Notamacropus eugenii: one gene and its partner. The protein of the gene in region 2 interacts with the protein of the main gene of each other region in a biochemical or structural test. Links are inferred from orthologs where the notes say so. Each region holds a gene or a part of one and is shown on either strand. Other genes may lie near its edges.

Region 1 (10,802 bases), on a different chromosome or scaffold from region 2:
AAACACCAGTTTAGTAGCTGTGTAGGACTACATCCTAGAGCCCAATCAGGCCGCCACAGCGACAGTCCAAGGGAGAGGTGATTAGGCCCTGCACTACAGGCTGGCCACACGGCCTCCACACAGTCTTGCCAACTGTTTGAGAATGGCAGGAGGAGGGAAGAGGGGCACTCTGATGGGTCGGCTGGTGTCCTCACTAGAAACCAAAGTCCAGAGGAGCAGTGGCATAGAGGAGAGGTCAGGAGACGCGTTTCAGAAGAAAAAGGGCAGGGCCCCAGATGGGATCCAGTGATGGAAACCGCATAGCGGATGGGACAGAGCTAGAGGCAGGGCTGCTGCCCAAGCCCAGCTCTGCCCCTCCAAGATGAGACAAAGCTGGATGGGCAGGCTGAAGTGGAGGTGGGGAAAAAAGAAACATCCACAGCCCTAGCTGTGGGAGAGGAAAATGGAAAAATCTTCCCAGAATTAGAGATCCAAGGAAAAACTAGGCCTAGAATTGGGATGCCTTTGGACTCCCTGGGGCTTGGATTCCGGTTATAGAAAGCAGGGCGTGGTCGTGTGTGGTTAGGAGGTGGGTTCTAGGGCCTCCCTACATCCCCACGAAATCCAAGATCTATCTGCTTCCCGCTAGAGGTCCCAGGAGTGAGCTTGCTCAGAGCCAGACACATTCCAAGAGCCCAAACAAGACATATATGGTCAGAGGATCAGTAGGAAAGATAAGGAACGCATCGACAAGGCTCTGATGGAATGGCAGGGAGGAGGAGGGCCCAGAACCTGCAAGGCCAGGGCCCAGACCCGGAACTCCTCTGGGTCATGAGGTAATGCAACAACTACGCACTGGCAGGCCCAGCTAAGGACTTGGGATGGCAAACTGCCTCCCTGCACCTAGCAACCACCACCCTGTCACCAGGCAACCACACTGAGTCAGTGCTGAAAAGCTCTTCTGAGCTCCAGATCAGTTTCCTGGGGAGCATTTCAACCAAAGAAGAAATGATCCTGCTTGCCCCCAGAAGACCGCTGCTACCCCAGCCTTTCCTACCAATGCAAAATACAATTTTCTTCCCCAAGAGAATTGTTCCTTACAAGGAAATATCATGTTCCTTCTCAGTAAGCTATTCTCCCAGCTTCTACTCCCAATCCCCACCTCAAGGACCACTGCCTTACAACTACTGAGCTCCCCAGGACTGGGAAGAAAGTGCTTGGCAAACACTGTCACCGGATGAAGATGAATTGCTTGCTTTTTTTTAAAGGGAGACTGTGTTCCACAAATCATAAATCAAAAGTCATTCACCTTTGCTTTCCTGTCCCACAGTGGGAAGACTGATTTCAAGTGACCTGGAGCATGGGCCAGATTCTGCCCTGCCTGATGGCTCACCTACACGCATCACTCCCAGCACGTCTTGGGCCCATGCGATCTCTCCTTTGGGTGGAGTTTGCATAAATTTTTTACTAAGCTCACCGACCTGATTCCTTCAGTTACTATTTGCTAAAATGTTACAGGGAAAGTCTGCAGTGCAATCCACAGAACATAGCCTGGTGGGGCACAGGGGTGAGCAAGGCAGTGTCGTGATAACACGGAGAGAGCCTGCGTTTGGTCGCAGAAGTCCTGGGCTTGAAGCTTGGCTCGGTTCCACTTAATAATGGTGTAACCAACAAGTCATTCCTTGGTTGAATCTGTTTCTTTACAGGTGATAAAATTCCCCAAAATTCTAATGACTCAAAACTGGAAAGGACTGCCCCCAGAAAACAGGGGACTCCCTCTCTTGTGAGGTTTTCAAGTGTGGGCCTTCGGGGGAAAAGACAACATGAAGTGTCCAGGGAAAGCTGTCTTTGAGCCAGAGGGCTGGCTATGCCACGTGACACCTGTGTGGCCTTGGACCAGTCATTTCATAGGTCGCAGTTTGCTCATTTGTAGAATGTCAGAGTTGGACTAGAAGACCTATGAAGGCTCTTGTAGTCGTAGCTGTTGTGACCCTATGACTGTCTGACACTCTAGGATGCCACAATGTGACTTTCTAAAGATACTGCTACAGAATCAAAAAAGGTCCGAAGGGCCCAAGCTCCCCTGATTTCATACTGAATTAGGGGAGCTCCAGGTTGAAAGGTTGGCTCTCAAGCTCAAACCACACCTGCTCAGGAACCTTCCCTATAACACAGGAGCTGAGATGTACAACTAGAAGGGAACTTCGAGGTCATCTGGGCCAAAGTCCTCATTTTCAAGATGAGGAAACTGAGGCCCTGAGGTCACAGGGGTCAGAAGTGGCAGAGCTGGGAATCAGGCCTCTAGAGGGCAAGCCATTGAATCTCTGGACCGATCCAATGCTTAGGAACTAGAGGGAACCGAGGCTCAGTTGGACACTTGTTGTTGAGGAAGGTGATATCATGACAGCAGAGGAATTGAATTTAAGTAAGGCAGGGTTGTGCAAAGCCACGAGCCTCGCTTTCTTTTCTGAAGCCATTTGGGCCCAGTGCCCAGATATGGATCAGGAGCCTAGAGATGGCCCGAGATGCAGTGGGAAACCTTGCCCTTTTTTTTCTATCTGGAGAAAGTGACTTCCTGTTCCCACCACTACTAAGTGGCTCTGAGCCAAGTTTCAAACCCAAGACTTTGGACTCCATACCACAATACCAACTGCTTTCCTCATGCCCACTCTGTGCCACACAGACCTTTCCTTGGGGAATTCCACTGCCCACATTCTAGTGTCCCTGGGACACAAGGAGGGAAAGGCCCTCAAAAGGGCAGCTGCTAGAGGAAACCCATGCCAGATGCTCTGCTGACCCCGCTGAACAGCCCTAGCTCTGCCAGTGGGCCCCAATGGATGGATTTCATCCCCGTGGATGAAATAAAGAACTATATGAGCTCTGAAAAAATCTCTCCTGCTCTACACCAAAGGAGAGAGCATCTTGGAACTCAAGTATGTGCAAGGGAGGAAGGAGGCCAACGTTTGAAAAAGGGTTGAACTTGAAATTTCACTGCCTTTCTGCAACTCCACAGCTTTCACTTCCTGACTGCACCCGCCCTTCCTGGCTGACCTCCATCAGTACCTCTAAAGCTACAGCCGACAAGTTCACCCCAGTCCCAGAAAGCTGCTCCCCAAATCTCCCATCAAAGAGGGTCAGGAGAGGCTGCATCCTCCTGGCCCGGGGAATTTCCAACTTAAGCTGCTTCACAGACCCTGAACTTTCCACTCTAAGATTGTGCTTCTTCCTCTCTGGAGAAAAGACCAGCAACGCAAAGGTCAGAGATAATGGGCCTCTTGTGTGGTGCCATCCCAAAGTGGGCATGGGGGTGCCCTGGTGCTAATCTAAGCCTTTACCCACCAAAGAAGGCTGAACAGCTCACCTCCACGACTCAGATCAGGGACCCAGATTTAAAGGAGGTGGATCACCTTGACCTGAACCTGCGGAAACAAGGAGGCTAGGCCAGCCCTGGGGCTTTCAGAGCCCCCCTAGTGTCTGAACCCTACCAGCTTGCTCCCACCCGTAACTGAAACGGCTGTCTCTCTCTTTGCTGCTACAAGATAAACGGGGGGTGCCATTCTGCACTCCAGCGTCTCACCTCTCTGGTCAGAACTAAACCACCCCGGGGCCCCCAGGAACTCCCTCTGCCTCATCACCACCCGAGACCAGGACAGCGAACTCACCTGGGACGCTCTACCAGCGCCCAGCCTGGCAGGGCCTGTTTCCCAAGGGAGAAAAGAAGGAGGGGCTCCGGACAGGTACGTGGAAGGAAACCCGGCCCCTCCCCCCTGCCCTAGCCCACCCTCCTTCGGACCAGCTTCTCCGGATCTGAAGCCAGGCTGCGGGACCTTCATTGGGGGGCGGGGAGTCTCCGGGTACCTCGCGTGTAAGACGAGGGAGCGGGATCACCCCATCCCTAAGGCGCTCCCCGCACGGGCTCCCCGCTCCGACCATTAGCAGCCTCGGAGCCGGGCCACCGGGAGGAGGGCCCGGCCCTGCAGTGCGCGGCTGCGGGGGATGCACGGCCGGGGCGGGTCACCCGGATGGGCCCCCACGGGGAAAGGACCAGTCCGGGGCGCACACCGGGGGGGAGCCCCGCACAGGGAGGAGGGCCCCGCACAGGGAGGGGGGGAGCCCCGCACACGGCAGGGGGGCCGCACACGGCGGGGGGGGCCGCACACGGCGGGGGGGGGCCGCACACGGCGGGGGGGAGCCCCGCACACGGCAGGGGGAGCCCGCACACGGCAGGGGGAGCCCGCACACGGCGGGGGGGAGCCCCGCACACGGCGGGGGGGAGCCCCGCACACCGCTGCGAAGCACCTCGGAGGCCGGCCTTCCACAGGAGGAAACTGAGGCCCGGGGGCAGCTCACGCGCCGACCGAGCGAGCGAGGTTCCCGGTCACTCACCCAGCCCCGCAGAAGGGGAAACTGAGGCCCGGAAAGAGGAAGTGACTCATCCAGGGCGACACCTCAGGCAGCGGAGGGAGGGGTTTTACAGACGGGGACACTGAGGCCCGGGGAGCGGCGCGGCGGAGACCTCCGTTCCCAGGCTCAGCTGCCCCGTCCGCACGACGGTTCCGGCCCGGAGGAGGCTGCCGCCGCGGGCCCGAGCCCGCCCCTCTTCTCGCCGTCGGGGTCCCGATCCCCTCCCCGCCCCGCGCGGCCCCGGCCCAGCTCACCGCCGCCGCCGCCTCCTGTCACAGCTCCGCCAACATCCGGCTCGGAGCCGACGCTGGGAGGGAGGGAGCAGAGCAGGGAGGAGCGCCGCCCCCCCCGCAGGCACTCTCCCGCAGACCCACACCCACCCCGGAGCCACCGCCCCGCCACTTCCGCCCCGCCGCGCACCCGCTTCCGGTCCGCTGCCACGAACAAACATGGCCGCTTCCGCCTGGGGGAGGGGCCGCCTGCGTCCTCTGCCGTTCCCTTCCGGTTCCTCTCCGGGTGGGGACAGAGGCGGAGAAATAGGGTTCCGCCCTCGCTGATAGGCCCACGGAGTCCGACGCTCTCTGCGCTTGCGTGGCTCAGAAATAGAGTAAACCAGGAAAGAGGAAGCAGGAAGGATTCGATGAGGTTGAACGCTTCCCGTTCCTACGCTCGTAACTCCCCAGAACGTTCTCCCTAGGAGGGTCCAGATGGGATGATCACTTACAAACTGAAATCAAGGGGGCGGGAGGAGGGGATGGGGTCACGGGGTGCTGATGGACGGAGGGCAAAGGTCAGAGCGAACACTTGAGAAGGGACAGGGTGGAAGGACAGAGAGACAGCAGGACAGACACGGGAACGCAGCTCCCAGACGAAGACCTCATTTCTCTGATGTGGACAGAACGGAGTCTAAAAGACAACTGACAACTGACAGCTTTCAGACAAGCTGCGGGGACGCGAGACACGCAAACCGGAACAACTCCGAGCTGCCACCCAGGCCCGGACCGGTGTGGGCGGGGCTGTGGGGAAACTGACACACGGATGCGCGGTCTGGGGCGTTCTGCGCCTGCGCAGGCGTCCGCTGAGGAGCGTGGAGCCCTGCCCTCTGCTTGAGCTGCTAGCATTCCCAGGTCTGTGTGCCAAAGATGAGTGTGCCTCACTTAAAGTCAAAATGCTATAAGACCTCAGCCTGAAAGGACGGGGCCATCTCCAGTGATCCTGAGGACTATCTGGCCACTGGACCCTGGTGGCTCAGGAGAAGAAAGTGAGGCACAAGAAGAAAGTGACCTTGCACAGCCCTCCCTCCCTCAAATCAAAGTCAATGGCAAGTCATGTCCTCATCTTCATGTCATGGTCCTCTTTGAGAATGAAGGACAAGCACACATCCCAAAGAGACTGAAAAAAAGAAAAGGACTTATATGTACAAAAATACTTGTATCAGCTCTTTTTGTGGTGACAAAGAATTAGAAATTAAGGGATGTCCATCACTTGGGGAATACGAGAATAACGTGTATAAGGTTGTGATGGAATATTATTGTGCTATAAGAAATGAGTAGGGTGCTCTCGGAAAAACCTGGACTTGCATGAACTGATGCAAAGTGAAATGAGAGCCGGAACAGTGTATGTAGCAGAAGGCCTGCCTCCACACACGGGCTTGGTGATGTGGTGAAGAAGAAAGACACGGGAGGCGGGGAAAGATGGACCAATTCCATTTATTGATCCAAGGGTTAGGGTATATATAGACAGAAACTGCGAGTCTACGTGAGATTCTTCTGTCTCCCAGTGATTTGGCCAGTCTTATTGTCTTTAAAGACTGTTAGCCTAGGGGGCATCTATTTTACATATCCCTTGTTTTCTGTAATTCTCGTTTGTCTCAGGGAGATAGCAACATCCAGGGGTCATGGAGAGCCATTCTGGATGATAAGGAGCACAGTCTCAAAGAACAGTTTCCCCAAAGGTCTTTCCTGATCTTGTCCACCGCACTCCACCCTGGTCCTCAACAATTGTATACAGTGTTGACCTGAAAACTTGGTTAAAGAAAAGGCAACAGGCTAAATGCATACATTTTATGATTTAATTAATTAATCAATTCCCTATTAAAGAAAACGGTAACATAATGCATTATGGAGCCAGAAATGTTCTGGCTACCGATACAAAGAACTGGGAAGCCTTAAATATGTTTTTAGGGCAAAGAAGTGTTCTGTGTCCTTCAGATTTATGATCTCCATGAATGATTAACTACACCATTAGAAAGGAATTTCTTAATTGCATAGGTTGTGTTGACCTGAAAACTTGTTGAAGAAAAGGCAACATGGCTAAATGCATACATTTTATGATTTAATTAATTAATTGATTAATTCCCCATAAAGAAAACAGTTACATAATGCATTATGGAGCCAGAAATGTTCTGGCTACCCAGTGCAGAAATCTTCTGGCCTATATACATTTTGCCGTGAGAAAAGAACTCTCCTAGTTGAACAAATCATAAATTCAGTAAGACAGGACAATTAACAAAGCAATATTGGTCAGGCCTTGGGATTCCAAGCTGGGTAAACATATGTCTTGGAAATGTAAGTGGTGGGCTTCCTGCCCTAAACAGGTAACTGACATAGGAAAGGGTAAACAAAGTTCAATAGAAATTACGACCTAAGATGTCTGTGTTTTCTTTACCATTAACATGCCATAACATAGTATATGTCTACAAATATTAAGATATGGAAAACGTCCCATTATTCAAGATAGTGTCTTAGGTTAAAGGTCTCTTAAGGAATGTAAGTCAGCCCTGGCAGGCTTTTGTTGACATAGGAAGAGGCATTCTCTGAGTTTGCTTCAGAGAGAACAAAGAGATTATTCCAAAATTTTATATTAAACATTATCAACAGTAAGAGTAATACTGTATGATGATCAACTGTGAATGATTCAGCTAGCCTCAGCAGTGATCCGAGACTATTCTGAAGGACTTATGATGAAAAAAACTCTCCATCTCAAGAGAAAGAACTGATGGAGTCTGAATGCAGATCAAAGCATATTTTTTTCTCTATTTTTCTTGTGGGTTTTTTTGTCTATGTTTTCTTTCACAATATGACTAACTTGGAAATGTGCTGTGCGTGACTATACATGCATAATCTATATAAAATTGCCTTCTTGAGAGAGAGAAGGGGAGGAGAAGAAAAGGGAAAAAGAATGTGGAAGTCAAAAAAATTTTAAATGAACGTTAAAGTTTGTAATTGGGGGAAAATATTAAAAAAATTTTTAAGGAAAAAAAAGTCTCTGGTCAACAAGCATGTATTTGTGATGCACCTGCTTTCCCAGGAACAGGGGCAGCTGGGGGGCGGTGGATGAAGTCTGGGCCTGGAGTCTTGAAGACCCATCTTCCTGAGTTCCAATCTGGCCTCCAATACTTACTAGGACTTTGACGCCAGAGCTCAAGGTCTTCCCCCACCCGTTAATAGACCTCACCTATAGCCCTTGGAGAGAAGCTTGCTTAGGGGAAGCTCGTTTTGTAGCAAGGCCCACACCTCTTGTTCGTTGCTAGAGGCAGAGTCAAGAGGGTCAGTGCCCTGCGGTCCTGAAGAATGTATATGTTGGTGCCAACTCTGCATGTAATGGTCAGACGTGGAGCCATCTGTTGATCTGGGATGTACGTATTGCTCATGGTCGGACCGAAGCCCTGTCTGTGGGTCATTTCCCTGCTTGTATTTCCTCTGTTGGGGCACGGGATTAAAGAACGTTCTTTTAGGAAAGCAGGCCCTCCTGGGGTCGGGGCTCGCTGCCAGTCACTTCACCCTGTCTGCCTCAGTGTCCTCATCTATAAAACGAGCTGGAGAAGGGAATGGCCAAGAAAACCCTGGGGGTCACGAAGAGCCTGACCTGGAAAACACCACCGGCGTCTAGCGATCCGAGGAGACACCGTCTGAAGGCTGTGCCAGCCCTCCGGGGCTGCGGAGATGCTGGCTGCTGTCACCGGCATCCCCACTAGGAAGGACTCCCGGTGAGAACACCCCCTCCCCAAGCGCAGATCGCCACCCGCCCCTCCCGGCAGCCGCAGACTTGCTCGGGGCGCTCTATCTGCCCCAGAATGTGTCCCATTAATCGCCTGCGGTGTTCCAGGAACACAAAGCCCAGAGAGTCACTGCCTTCTGGGGGCCTCGGCTCCTCCGGCCTCAGTTTCCCCTGGTGTTCAGTGAGGGCTGGACCCATGATCTCTGGGGTGCCGGGGGGCGCGGTGAGGAGTGCGCTGGGAACCCCGTCACAGCAGCGGAAGGCCTGCCACGTGCCACGCGCGGGCGGAGCCAGAGGCGCGGGGCGGGGCCGAGGGGCACGGGCCTCAGCTTCCTCCTCTGTAAGAGGCCGCCCAGGCTCCCCGCGCCCTCCCTCCCCTGGGGCGTGGAAAGACCTAGGTTCGAGTCCCGGCTGCGCCTCCGCTTCTGGCTGGGCCCCGACCTTGTGCGCTCGAGCTGACGTGCCCCGCCCCCGGGGACTGCCCCGCCCTTCCCCTCCGTGCCCCGCCCCCGGGGACTGCCCCGCCCTCCCCCTCCGTGCCCCGCCCCTGGTGACTGCCCCGCCCCCCCGTGACTGCCCCGCCCTTCCCCTCCGTGCCCCGCCCCTGGTGACTGCCCCGCCCCCCCCCCGTGACTGCTCCGCCCTCCCCCTCCGTGCCCCGCCCCTGGTGACTGCCCCGCCCCCCCCCGTGACTGCCCCGCCCTTCCCCTCCGTGCCCCGCCCCTGGTGACTGCCCCGCCCCCCCCCGTGACTGCCCCGCCCTCCCCCTCCGTGCCCCGCCCCTGGTGACTGCCCCGCCCCCCCCCGTGACTGCCCCGCCCTTCCCCTCCGTGCCCCGCCCCTGGTGACTGCCCCGCCCCCCCCCGTGACTGCCCCGCCCTTCCCCTCCGTGCCCCGCCCCTGGTGACTGCCCCGCCCCCCCGTGACTGCCCCGCCCTTCCCCTCCGTGCCCCGCCCCCCCGTGACTGCCCCGCCCCCCCCGTGACTGCCCCGCCCTCCCCCTCCGTGCCCCGCCCCTGGTGACTGCCCCGCCCTTCCCCTCCGTGCCCCGCCCCCCCGGGGACTGCCCCGCCCCCCCCGTGACTGCCCCGCCCTCCCCCTCCGTGCCCCGCCCCTGGTGACTGCCCCGCCCCCCCGTGACTGCCCCGCCCTTCCCCTCCGTGCCCCGCCCCTGGTGACTGCCCCGCCCCCCCGTGACTGCCCCGCCCTTCCCCTCCGTGCCCCGCCCCCCCGTGACTGCCCCGCCCCCCCCCGTGACTGCCCCGCCCTCCCCCTCCGTGCCCCGCCCCTGGTGACTGCCCCGCCCTTCCCCTCCGTGCCCCGCCCCCCCGGGGACTGCCCCGCCCCCCCCCGTGACTGCCCCGCCCCCTCATGAATATGCAAAGTGCCTAAGGCCCGAGCGCTTGGGTTCCAGAGGCCACTCTTGGCTCCCGGAGCCAACCTGGCGGAGACAAAAGTCTCCTGACCCTGTGATTACCTGTGGGCGTGCCTCAGTTTCCCTGTTGTCCGGTTGGCATGGTCGGAATAGCACCCCCTCCTCTAAACTGCCATAGAAACCACAGGCCATAGGCTCCGGGCCAGGCCTGGCTGTGGCGGCTGGCACACTGGGTATCTGATAAACGGTCATTTCCGATTGATCGATCGCCGTCTGACGCATCTGGTCTCTTCCGAAGCGCCCGTACCTCGAGTGGCCTCGTCAGGAGCGCGTCTGGTGGCTCCCTGTGTCCCACGGAGCTCCGTGAGGGCACCCCCATGCCCAGGCCTGCGTGCTCACCCCATACGATGCCCGGGATGTCCGCGAGGGCACCCCCGTGCCCAGGCCTGCGTGCTCACCCCATACAACGCCAGGCATCTCCGCGAGGGCACCCCCGTGCCCAGGCCTGCGTGCTCACCCCATATGATGCCCGGGATGTCCGCGAGGGCACCCCCGTGCCCAGGCCTGCGTGCTCACCCCATACAACGCCCGGGATCTCCGCGAGGGCACCCACCGTGCCCAGGCCTGTGTTTCTTGTCACCCCCAGGGCGGTGCCCTGCATGAAGGAGGCGCTCAGTTCAAATCTGGCCCCGGACACTTACTAAGCTGTGTGACCCTGTTTGCCTCTGTTTCCTCATCTGTAAAATGGGCTGAAGAAGCAAATGGCAAACCACACTAAATGGGGTCATGAAGAGCCAGACCCCACGAGGCCACGACAGAAATGTGCCAGCCTCTGTTGTTTGTCGTTCGTCCATGAAGATCATGAAGAGGGCGTTGGGAAGCGATGCCACAACGTGCAAGTGAAGTGGATTTCAGTGAGGGAGGGAGGGCAGCGCAGGGCAAAGTCACCAGCCTCACTTTCTCCTCCTGAGTCGTTTGAGTCCAGTGGCCAGATATCGACCAGGAGGACTGGAGATGGCCCAGGATGCAGTGAGGACCTTGGCCT
Region 2 (9,767 bases):
TTGGTCAGATAAGAAGCTAGGACTCCTTGGAAAAAAACCCTGATGTTGAGAAAGACTGAAGACAAAAGGAAAAGGGAAGGACAGAGGATGAGATACACAGAAAATATTATGGAAACAAAGAACATGAACTTGGACAGATTTTGCAGAGACAGTGGAAGATAGAAGGGCCTGGCATGCTATGTTCCATGGCGTCACTAAGAGGCAGGACATGGCTGAACAACCAGAACCCCTATAGCAAAGTCCTGTTGATTCTACCTTCACAAAACCTCTTGGCTATACTCCCTTCTCCTCCTTGGAAACAGCTTGGATTAGTCTCTTATTACTTCACTCCTGGGCTACTTCAAAAGTGCTCTGGTTGGTCTCCCTGCTTTAAGTCTCTCACCACTTCAGTCCATCCTATATTCAGTTGCCAAAGTTATCTTCCTAAACGCAAGTCTAATTATGTCACCATCCTACTCAGTAAACTCCACTGGCTCCTTGTTACTTTCATGATCAAATATAAAATCCTATTTGACTTTTAAAGTCTTTTACAACCTGGCCCCTTCCTACTTATCCACTCTTATAATTTGTACCCCTCAAGGTACTGGACAATCTATTAATGCCTTTTCATTTAATGTCTCCCCTACTTAGAATACTTTTACTTCCTGGCTTCCCTCAGGTGTCAGGTCAAATCCCACCTCCCAACAGAGGCCTTTCCTAGTACCTCTCAATACTGATGTGTTTTCCTCAGAGATTACCTCCAATCACTGTGTACATACCTTGTACTTACATAATTGTTTGCATGTAATACCCCCTATTAGAACGAATGCTCCTCAAGGGTAGGAGTTGTTTTTTCCTTCCTTTGTATTCCTAGCACTTCCTAGAACTTCACATAGTGCTCAGCACACACTAAGTGCTAATAAGTGCCAGCTGACTAGGAGGCAGAATCAAGACTTTTCAAATAATTTGGATATGTGGGGTAAGGGAGAGGGAAGGTGGGATAATGCCTACAATTTCATTTTAGTTCTGAACTATACTGCAATTGCTACAGGTTAGCCCCATTAATAAAACTGACAAAAGTGTAAGTTTGTATATTCAGGATTGCTCAAACTGAAATCCATTCTTACCAAGGTCTAGTCATAACTGCTAGAATAGACTTTGATAATAGTACTGTATGTTTAAATAAATTACATGGTGGGTAGACAGGATATGTTCAGACAAGAGTGTCATTATCTCCTTTTAAATGTTTTCAGATTTCCCCACCTTAAAGTCAACAATTTTGGTAACATTATAGGACATTACCACATAATCACCAAGATAAATCTTAAATGCTTTCCTGACATGATGCCCACTTACATGGCAAGGGAAAAATAGCAAAAAAAATTCCAGTTGTTGAAAAGTAAATTAAGGAGTCTCTAATCAAAAACTTTAAAGTCAAAGATGTTGCTTAATTGTTGGAAATCTAAATATACTAATTATAGTACAATTAAAAGAAAAAAATGTATAATACCTAAGAAACAGCAGGACTTAAAAGCCCTACTGCTGGTATACATGAAAAAAATGGGTAATAACTTTTAGCAACTACTTTTCTAACATCTAGTTGTATAATAGTAAATGTAAACATTTTGGCTGTAAAATAAAACGCTAATTTTGTATATTGGCAATTTTAAAAGAAATACCAGCAGTAATAAAATTGTAGGCTTAGGTTCATTGTAGGCCAAGTAATGATTAATCACTAAGAATAGGTAGAAGTAAAGAATCTAGCATTAAGTTTTGCCTCTGTAAAACGGAATTACCAGGCTTCTCTGGGGGTTTCAATTTATTAAATTAAGGAGAGAAAGAATAAAACTTTACACAGCACCTACTACATGCCAGGCACTGAACCAATAAGCACTTTTTACAAATATCTCCTTAGAGACCCCCAACAACCCTTGGCTGTAGGTGTTTATGTTATCCTTATTTTACAGTTGAGGAAACTGAGGCAAGCAAACGTTTACTTCCTTAGGGTCACACGCAGCTATTAAATGTCTGAATCTGCATTTGAAGTCGTCTTTCTAACTAGCTGTAAGCCCACCAGCTGCCGCAAAGGACAGGAGGAAGAGACTTGTAATCGACATAAAGGGCTACATAGTAGCTTAGGTTGTAACTCTGTACTAACAGCTTGAAACTGACTCTTACAGACTAGGAAGGTTCTGACACAAAAAGGACAGAAGAGGTGATTCAGCGTCTGAGCCTTCCGGCCCAGGTGGGTCTCTACTTGAGTCAATTTAACTGTTGAAAAGCTCTATCCCCAAAGCACTTTCTCCAGGAGCCCCGCGGCTCCTCTCGGGAACGTGTTTTCCGTAAGGTTAAGGAGGCCACAAAGGGGGCAGCCAGGTGAGCTCCCAGAAAAGGCCCTCGTTCATTATCCCCTGCTTCTCACACTTATTACAAACGCCTCTTCCGAAGCTACTCCCTAAGGGCACAAGGCGCCTAGGAAACTCGGGAAATGGCCCTGGGAAGCCACAGCCCGGCCACGGCAGGAAGGACCCGGGCTGCGCAGCCCCGACGCGCTGCTCTTCCGCCGCTGCCCCCAGCCCCAGGGCCAACGGAAGGGACAGGTAACACCCTAAGAGAGCCCGGGCAGCAATGATCCGGCCGCCGAGCGTCGGCGGACCGGCCCCGCCCGCCGCACTCTCCAGGCCCGGCCCGACCCCGTCCGGAGTCGCCGGGGTGGGCAGCTCCTCCCCGCCCCGGCCCCGCCGAGATCCCGCACCTACCCGGGAGGCAGCCTCCGGCTCCGGCTCCGGCTCCGGTTCCGGTTCCTCGTCCCCTTCGCCCCTCCAGGCCGGCGAAGCCGGGCGGACCGGCCTGGAGCTGGGCCCTGCGCGGGGCTCCCCCAGAGCCCCTAGGTCGGCGGCGGAGACCCCAGCCAGGTCCCCCAGCCGCAGCGGCAGCGGCAAGAGCGCTGACCTGGATGTAGATGGGGGCCTCGACGGAAGTGACAACATCGCTCCGCTTCCCTCGCCCGGGGTGGGGTGACACAAATTAGCGGAGAGGGGCCGCGGCGCCCGGCTTAAAGGAAGGAAGGAAGGAAACGAGAGGAAACCCCACCCCTGCAACGCCCGCCCGACCTTGCGCATGCGCGCTGACACCGAGACGCGGCGCTCGTCCCGTCGCCAGGGTAGCTGGGGAGAAGCTTTGCGCACGCGCAGTCCTCTCGAGGGATTCTCCTCGGCGGCTGCTGCCCTACTGAAAGTGGGGACTGTGGCTGCTTGACCAAAATCTCCCCCCAAATTCCCCATTTCTGCAGACTTGGAACCAGACCGCTTGGTTTCCTAGAAGCCTAAACTCTACCCCTCCGAGCCTTCCCCTTGGACATTAAATTACCACGGTCATCACTAAATTCACGGTCACCTTTGAATAAAACAGCACTTGAAGGTTTGCAGAGCATTTTGCAAAAACTGTTGTTTTTAAAAGTATATATATTTTGTCTTCTCAAGAACCCAGGGAGTTAGGTGCTGTTAATCTATCCATTTGACAGATGAGGAAACTGAGGCAGGAAGAGGTGGAGTGACTTGTCCAAGGTCACACGGGAGGTGTCTGAGGTCCGATTCGTACCCAGTACTTCTGGCTCCGGGCGCGGAGCTCTATCAGCGCCAGTCACCCATTGTCTTGTAAGCCCTTCCAGTTCCCCAGCCTTCTTTGGACTCTCTATAGCGCAGCCCGCAGCACGGTGCCTGGCACAGGGGTTTGTCCTGTGTTGTGGAAGAGGAGGGTGGCATCAGGGAGGTGATGCCATGACTGCCTGTGAATTGGATTGAAGCGAGGGAGGCTGTGCAGCGTCACCGGCTTCACTGTCTCCTCCGGAGCCATCTGGGTCCAATGCCCAGATACGGAATAGGATGACTGGAGACAGCCCCAGATGGGGGAGACCTTGAACCTTGTGTCCTGCCACATAGTAGTCGATGAAGAAGTGTTTATTGATTGATTGACCTCCTTAATTCCTCCTCATTCTTCAAAGTCCATTTCAAATGCCATCTCCTTCAGGAACACTTGCTAGGTATTATGTATCCCTTGGGGAAGTTGCTTAATCTTGCTGACTTTCCATTTTCTTTTATATAAAATGGAGGGGTTGAAGTATAAGTCTTTTAAGGTAAGGTCTAACTCTTAAGTCCTCCACTTACTTGGTTTAAATCTTTAATGGGATAGTACAGATAAAACAGTTTTCAAACCATCAAGTGATGTCAGCTGTTACTCATAATGTCAGTAAACAAAAGCTCTTATTAAAAAAAAAAAAATCCTCTGAGCCCAAACTCTTACCTAGGTGTGTAAGAAAGTATAAACTAAGATAAGACCCTGCCATCCTCAATCTAAGTCTAAAAACTGCTACTGAGAGGATTCAGGTGGTGTTTTGTTTTGTTTTAAGAAAAAAGGAAGGAGAAAAGAAAGAACAAGGGGTTTTGTTTTATTTTGTTTTTCTAAAGACTGAGAAGAAATAGAGAACCTCTTCAGCTTGATGCCAGGGCCGCCCTGACCCCTGTGTAACTGTCAGGGGATCAGGAATTTGACTTCTGCTCTGCCAACTCTCTACTCTCACAAGGCCACCAGTCTCTGAACCAAGACCCAACTGATTCACCCTGACCTTCCAGCAAAGCTCACACCCACTCACGAATTCATGGAGACCATCTTCTTAAAGAACTACGTCTACCTAGGATGAGTAACTCAGCCTTTCTTCTTTTAAACGACTCTGCCCCAGTACTCCACCCACCCTTGTCTTTCCGATGCTGGCACTGGTTGCAGGCAGCATAACCCACCCCGCTTTTAATCTCTTTCTCACTGATTTATAATCAAATAAACATTGGCTATTATAAAGGGCATGACAGTCTACTACTCCCATGGCTCCTGTGGAATTATATGAAAACTAGGTGATTAGCCCCCTTCTCTGACCACCTGTTCTCTCATAGACATTTATGTTGGCCCTATCCCTTCATTGCTCCTATGCTATCATGTGGACTATTACAAAAGCCTTCTAATTAGTATCCTTGACTCAAGTCCCTCAACTCCAATCCACTGTCCAATTGCCAAAGTGATTTTCCTCACGTGATCTAATCATGCCCCTCCTCTATTCAATAAATCCTATTACTGCTAGTATAAACTTTTTAAAAAGTCATTTATAATCTGGTGCCAATCTATCTTTTTAGTCTCATTGTCCATTGCTACCCCCCTTTCCTGAATCTTATGGTCTAGCCAAACCGGCCTCTCTTTACAGTACTGCATTTCACATGTCTGTGCCTTTTCCCTGGTTGTTCCAAATGCATGTATTTACTTCAGCCTCATCAAATCCCTCATTTCCTTCAAGATACAACTCAAGGGCTACCTTCTACACTGTAGTGTCCAACTTGTAGTGTCCTCCCCTCAACTTCCTTGTATTTGTGCTATGTGTATTTATTCTATATATATATATGCATACATGTATGTAGTATATGTGTCTATGATCACACATATGTGTGTATATATCCTGTTAGAATGTTAGGTATTTTGCGCAGGAATTACTTTTTTTTTTTGGTCTTTTATTCCCAGTGATTAATATAGTACTTGGCACATGGAAGAAATGGGGTGATGGGACCTGGCCACCTAAAAGAAAAAGACCATGTCTTTGAAAGCAACTCGTACATTTCAGTGGCCCAAATCACAAGCACCCCCCCCCCACTCCCCAATCTGAGCCACCCCAGCCCACCTAGATCACTTAATAAATTTACTTGATAATGCTTTCATTTTCCCTTTTGGCCCACCTCAGGCTATTTAACACTCCTTAATGTCATCAAGATCCTTTCAAGGTTACACCGGGACTACCCCTGCTGTTTATCTCTCCTGAATCCCATCCAAATCTTCTGTGTCCTTTTTTTAATATAAATATCTCATCTCCATCCAGGTGAAGATTCACTAAGAATCTCACCTGGCTCCTGTTGGCATTTAAGGGTTTTTTGTTGTTGTTGGTTTTTTTTTGGAGGTGTGAAGACAAGGCAGTTGGGGTTAAGTGACTTGCCCAAGGTCATACAGCTAGTGTCAAGGTCACATTTGAACTCAGATCCTCCTGACTCCAGGGTTGGTGCTGTATTCACTGCACCACCTAGCTGCGCCCCCCCCCCCCCTTTAAGATTTTAATTTGGAGGCAATGGGGGTTAAGTGACTTGCCCAGGGATCACACAGCTAGTAAGTGTTTGAGGTCACATTTGAACTCAGGTCCTCTGACTTCAAGACTGTTGGTCTATCCACTACACCACCTAGCTGCCCCCCCCCACCCCCCGTTTTTTCCAATTTGTTCTTTATTGATTAAAAATGAGGGTAATGTGAAGGAAAATACAAGATAAATAAAAGGGAATGTTGAATATTTTACATCTTACATTTTACAGTTGTTCACTGTATACACCTGTGTAGAGGAGCCTTCCTGTATCCTACAATGTTGTTCTCCAAGTAGTAACTAAATGAGCATGAACTGGTTCTAGGTTGGGTTCAGAAGTGACCCCAAACAAATCCCTTAGTGGTGTTAGACAAACCTTACATTCCATGATTATCCTTGGCACTTACTCTGGGCCTCACAGAGTGGAAGGCCCTCATGCTGTCCCCCCATCCCGACTCCCTCAGGGATGGTGCTCAGAGCTCTGCAGGCCCACAAAGGAGAGCTCTTCCCAGCCAGCCAGGCTCTGGATAGCTACTGTCTTACTGTGCATTGTCCATTTTAGAGTTTCTGAGCACCACTACACAAACAAATCCACAGAAACATGAGTGCATGCCCAAAGAAAAATAATAATACTGTCACAGGGCTTGCTAGCTGTCTCCCTAGATCTCAGTGGGGCAAAATCATTTTTAGTAGCTGATTTCTACCTTCTCAATCCACTACATGAAACTTCTGTACCAGTGTAAGGCTCCTTGGGATGTAGGGGCAGTGGGAGCAGGGGCAGACTGTCCTTCTGTCTTCACCAATCACACTCCTGGACAGAAAACTAACTAGAGAGAGCATCACTCAGCTGGCTTTACAATGAGGGAGGTTACTATGGGACTGCTGGAAGCCAAACTGAATGCTTGGACTAAAAAGCATCATTCTCTGCCCTCCCCCACACTTCAAATTCATCCAGATCCCCCAAGGTTTACAATAAACCTTGCTACCTTGACTAAAAGCTTGAGTGCTTGAATTCTTTCCAGGCAGACTCACCCTGTACCCTGGCATTTCAGGGTGCCCAGCAACCCCAAACCATGTTGTCAGGGTTCCCAGCAACACTAAACTGCATCAGTAGAACAGTAGAACATCTATCTTAAGTGGCAGCATTTCTCTAGAGTTTTTAATTTCTTGCAGAGATAGTTTTCTAACTCCAACTGATTTTATTTTTAGGAAAGAAATCCATTTTTCCAAATTGATAGCAAAACAGAAAACAGAGAAAGTATACATGTGAGAATATATCAGACAATACAAAAAGAAGGAACTCTCCCATTGGGACTGAGGTAATTCAACTCAACCAAGAGAGATAGAGTACCAGATCTCATCCAAAGGGGAAACTTCCCAGAGCTTCTAACATAGCAAGTTGGGGATAAGGAAGGACATAGTGGAGATTGCCAGCTCCTCCTATACCAACAACTTCCCAGATTTTACTTGACATTCTAATAAAAAACTAAAAATGAAAAGATCAGTATCATTAAAGTAACAAAGAAGCCAGAGAAGGAGTAATGGACTGGGAAAAGAGAGAGAGGTGGACTGGGAAAGAGAGAGAGGTGGAATTATTGGAAGTTGCAATGAAGAAAAATAGGCTTAGAAGGAATGAATTGGTTGGTTGGTTGGTTGGTCCTTCTTTCTTGAAGAGGACCAAAATGACATCACCATCATAAACTCAAGTTTCAATATGTCCAACGGTGGTTGACCAGACCAATATAAGCTCGGAATCAGGGAGGACCAGTACCTTTGGTGTGATGGCTGTCAAGCTCTTTGCAGGGCTGCTTTCCACCTTTGGTGTCCACCTGTTCCACCCAACTCTCACCTGTGGCTCCAAGAAGCTGCAGCATGTGCAGTGGCAACACCCCAATAAACTGTTTCAGCAGAAAGGCCAAACCTAGTTGAGGGTAACCAAGGAGTCTCAAACCTATTGATGAGGCGGGGGTGGGGTGGGGTGGTGTCTACCCCAAGCATGTGAAGACTTCTTCTGGAGAAGAAGTGAATCAGGTGAGTTGAAAGATAGGAGTTTGTGGCTAAACAGAAGGTTATCAGAGCTCTGAATCATGAAAGTAGAGCTCTCATGCCAGTGAGATCAAGGTTAAAAACATTCCTATATATGGCTGAAGTAAAGTTAAGGTGTATAACACAAGAATGACCTCTCTGTACCTTAGTTTCTTTATCTGTAAAATGAGGGTGCTGGACTTAATGATAATTAAGTTCCCTTCCATCTCTAGCATTTAAAGGATACTTCCAATGGACTTTACAGGATTTCACAATGTTAGAAATGGGGGCAGCTAGGTGGCCCAATGGATATGTTGGGGTTTAGGGGTGCTTAGGACCCCAAAATACTGACACACCAGGTCCTGCCCAAATGAATTCGACTCAAGTCTTCTTTCAGTCAAACAAAAACAAAGTTTATTAAAGATTTGCCATATTGGGTAGACTCTTAAGGAATCTCATCAATGAATAGACTCCTAAGGAATCTGAGCATTTGTGAAGCTTGTATTGACAAGTGAGCCAGATTGAATCTCATCTAGATTGAATCTGAGTGCCTTCATGGAGGTAGGATGGATCTTACATACATAAAGATTGTGGGAAGTATCTAGGGTTGGCCAAGTAGTCTGGGGTAACTAGAGGAGGGGTTTAGAGAGGGTCTTGAGGAGGAATCTAAGGAGGATCTTGATGGGACTAGGGTAACTAGAGGTCAGAACCAACAGAGTGGGATTTTGATAGGATCAAAGGTGGGAAGTAGCCTGAAGCAATTGGACAAAGCATTAATGAAAGGCTTATGGCCTCAGGCGAACTCCAGATGAAGTGGGAAGATTCAAAGGGCCTGTACCTCATCAGATAGAGAACCAAGTCTGGAGTCAGGAAGACTTAGTTTCTTGAGTTCAAATCTGACTTCTGACATTTACTGATTGTCTGACTCTGGACAAGTCACTTAATCCTGTTTACCTCAGTTTCTCAAACCACTGGAGTATCTTTGCCAAGAAAACTCCAGATGGGACTATGTAAGGTACAAGACCCTTTCCCAAAATTTTAGAAAATAAAGAGACTTCTTGAGGTAAGAATAGAAAATGTTTTATTCAGTTCTTGCGAGAAAGGGACATCTCTTCCACCAGAACCGGACTAGTGGAAGGAGGCAGTTTACAGAGAACAAGGCACCATCATAAACTGTAATGCAGAGAATTCCTCCCCTCTCCCCCCCCCCCCCCCCCCAATATACCACCTCTCCATTGGCTGGGAGGCAGGTTTAAAGACTAAGCTCGGAAAAACTAGACAAGACACACTTCCTTATCTAATACATAACTAACTGCTGATGTGGCTATTCTACAACTAAACTAACTAAAAAGGAAGGGAGGGGAAGAGGGGAGGGAGAGAAGAGGGAGCTATCAAACAAAGACAGATTTGATTAACTTCCAAGTTTCAACTACAGTCCATTTTGTTCTTATTTGGTAAAAATACCAGTGCTCAGGTAGCACTCTCACAGAGGGAAGGGAGGGGAAGGAGGGCCCTAACTGCCCACAAGCCTGGAAATCAGGGATGCAGAGAGAGAGGCCTTATGGACAAGAAATTTTATTTAGAAAATACAATATTCCCC

The links. The genes of interacting proteins can lie anywhere in the genome.
Region 1: the proteins of BNIP2 (region 2) and ARHGAP1 form a complex in vitro, tested with the Homo sapiens proteins (2 studies listed by BioGRID). The link is inferred for Notamacropus eugenii from reciprocal best matches to the Homo sapiens genes BNIP2 and ARHGAP1.

The regions. Positions count from the first base shown.
Region 1 is NC_092877.1:4,149,635-4,160,436, reverse strand, and holds the start of ARHGAP1 (rho GTPase-activating protein 1), read right to left. Parts: upstream 4,809-10,802; 5' UTR 4,638-4,808; intron 4,602-4,637; exon of another isoform or gene 4,416-4,601; coding exon of another isoform or gene 4,366-4,415; intron 3,929-4,365; exon of another isoform or gene 3,642-3,928; intron 3,366-3,641; exon of another isoform or gene 3,341-3,365; intron 1-3,340. UniProt on the Homo sapiens protein: GTPase activator for the Rho, Rac and Cdc42 proteins, converting them to the putatively inactive GDP-bound state. Cdc42 seems to be the preferred substrate.
Region 2 is NC_092872.1:149,410,880-149,420,646, reverse strand, and holds the start of BNIP2 (BCL2/adenovirus E1B 19 kDa protein-interacting protein 2), read right to left. Parts: upstream 4,254-9,767; 5' UTR 3,264-4,253; coding exon 2,739-3,263; intron 1-2,738.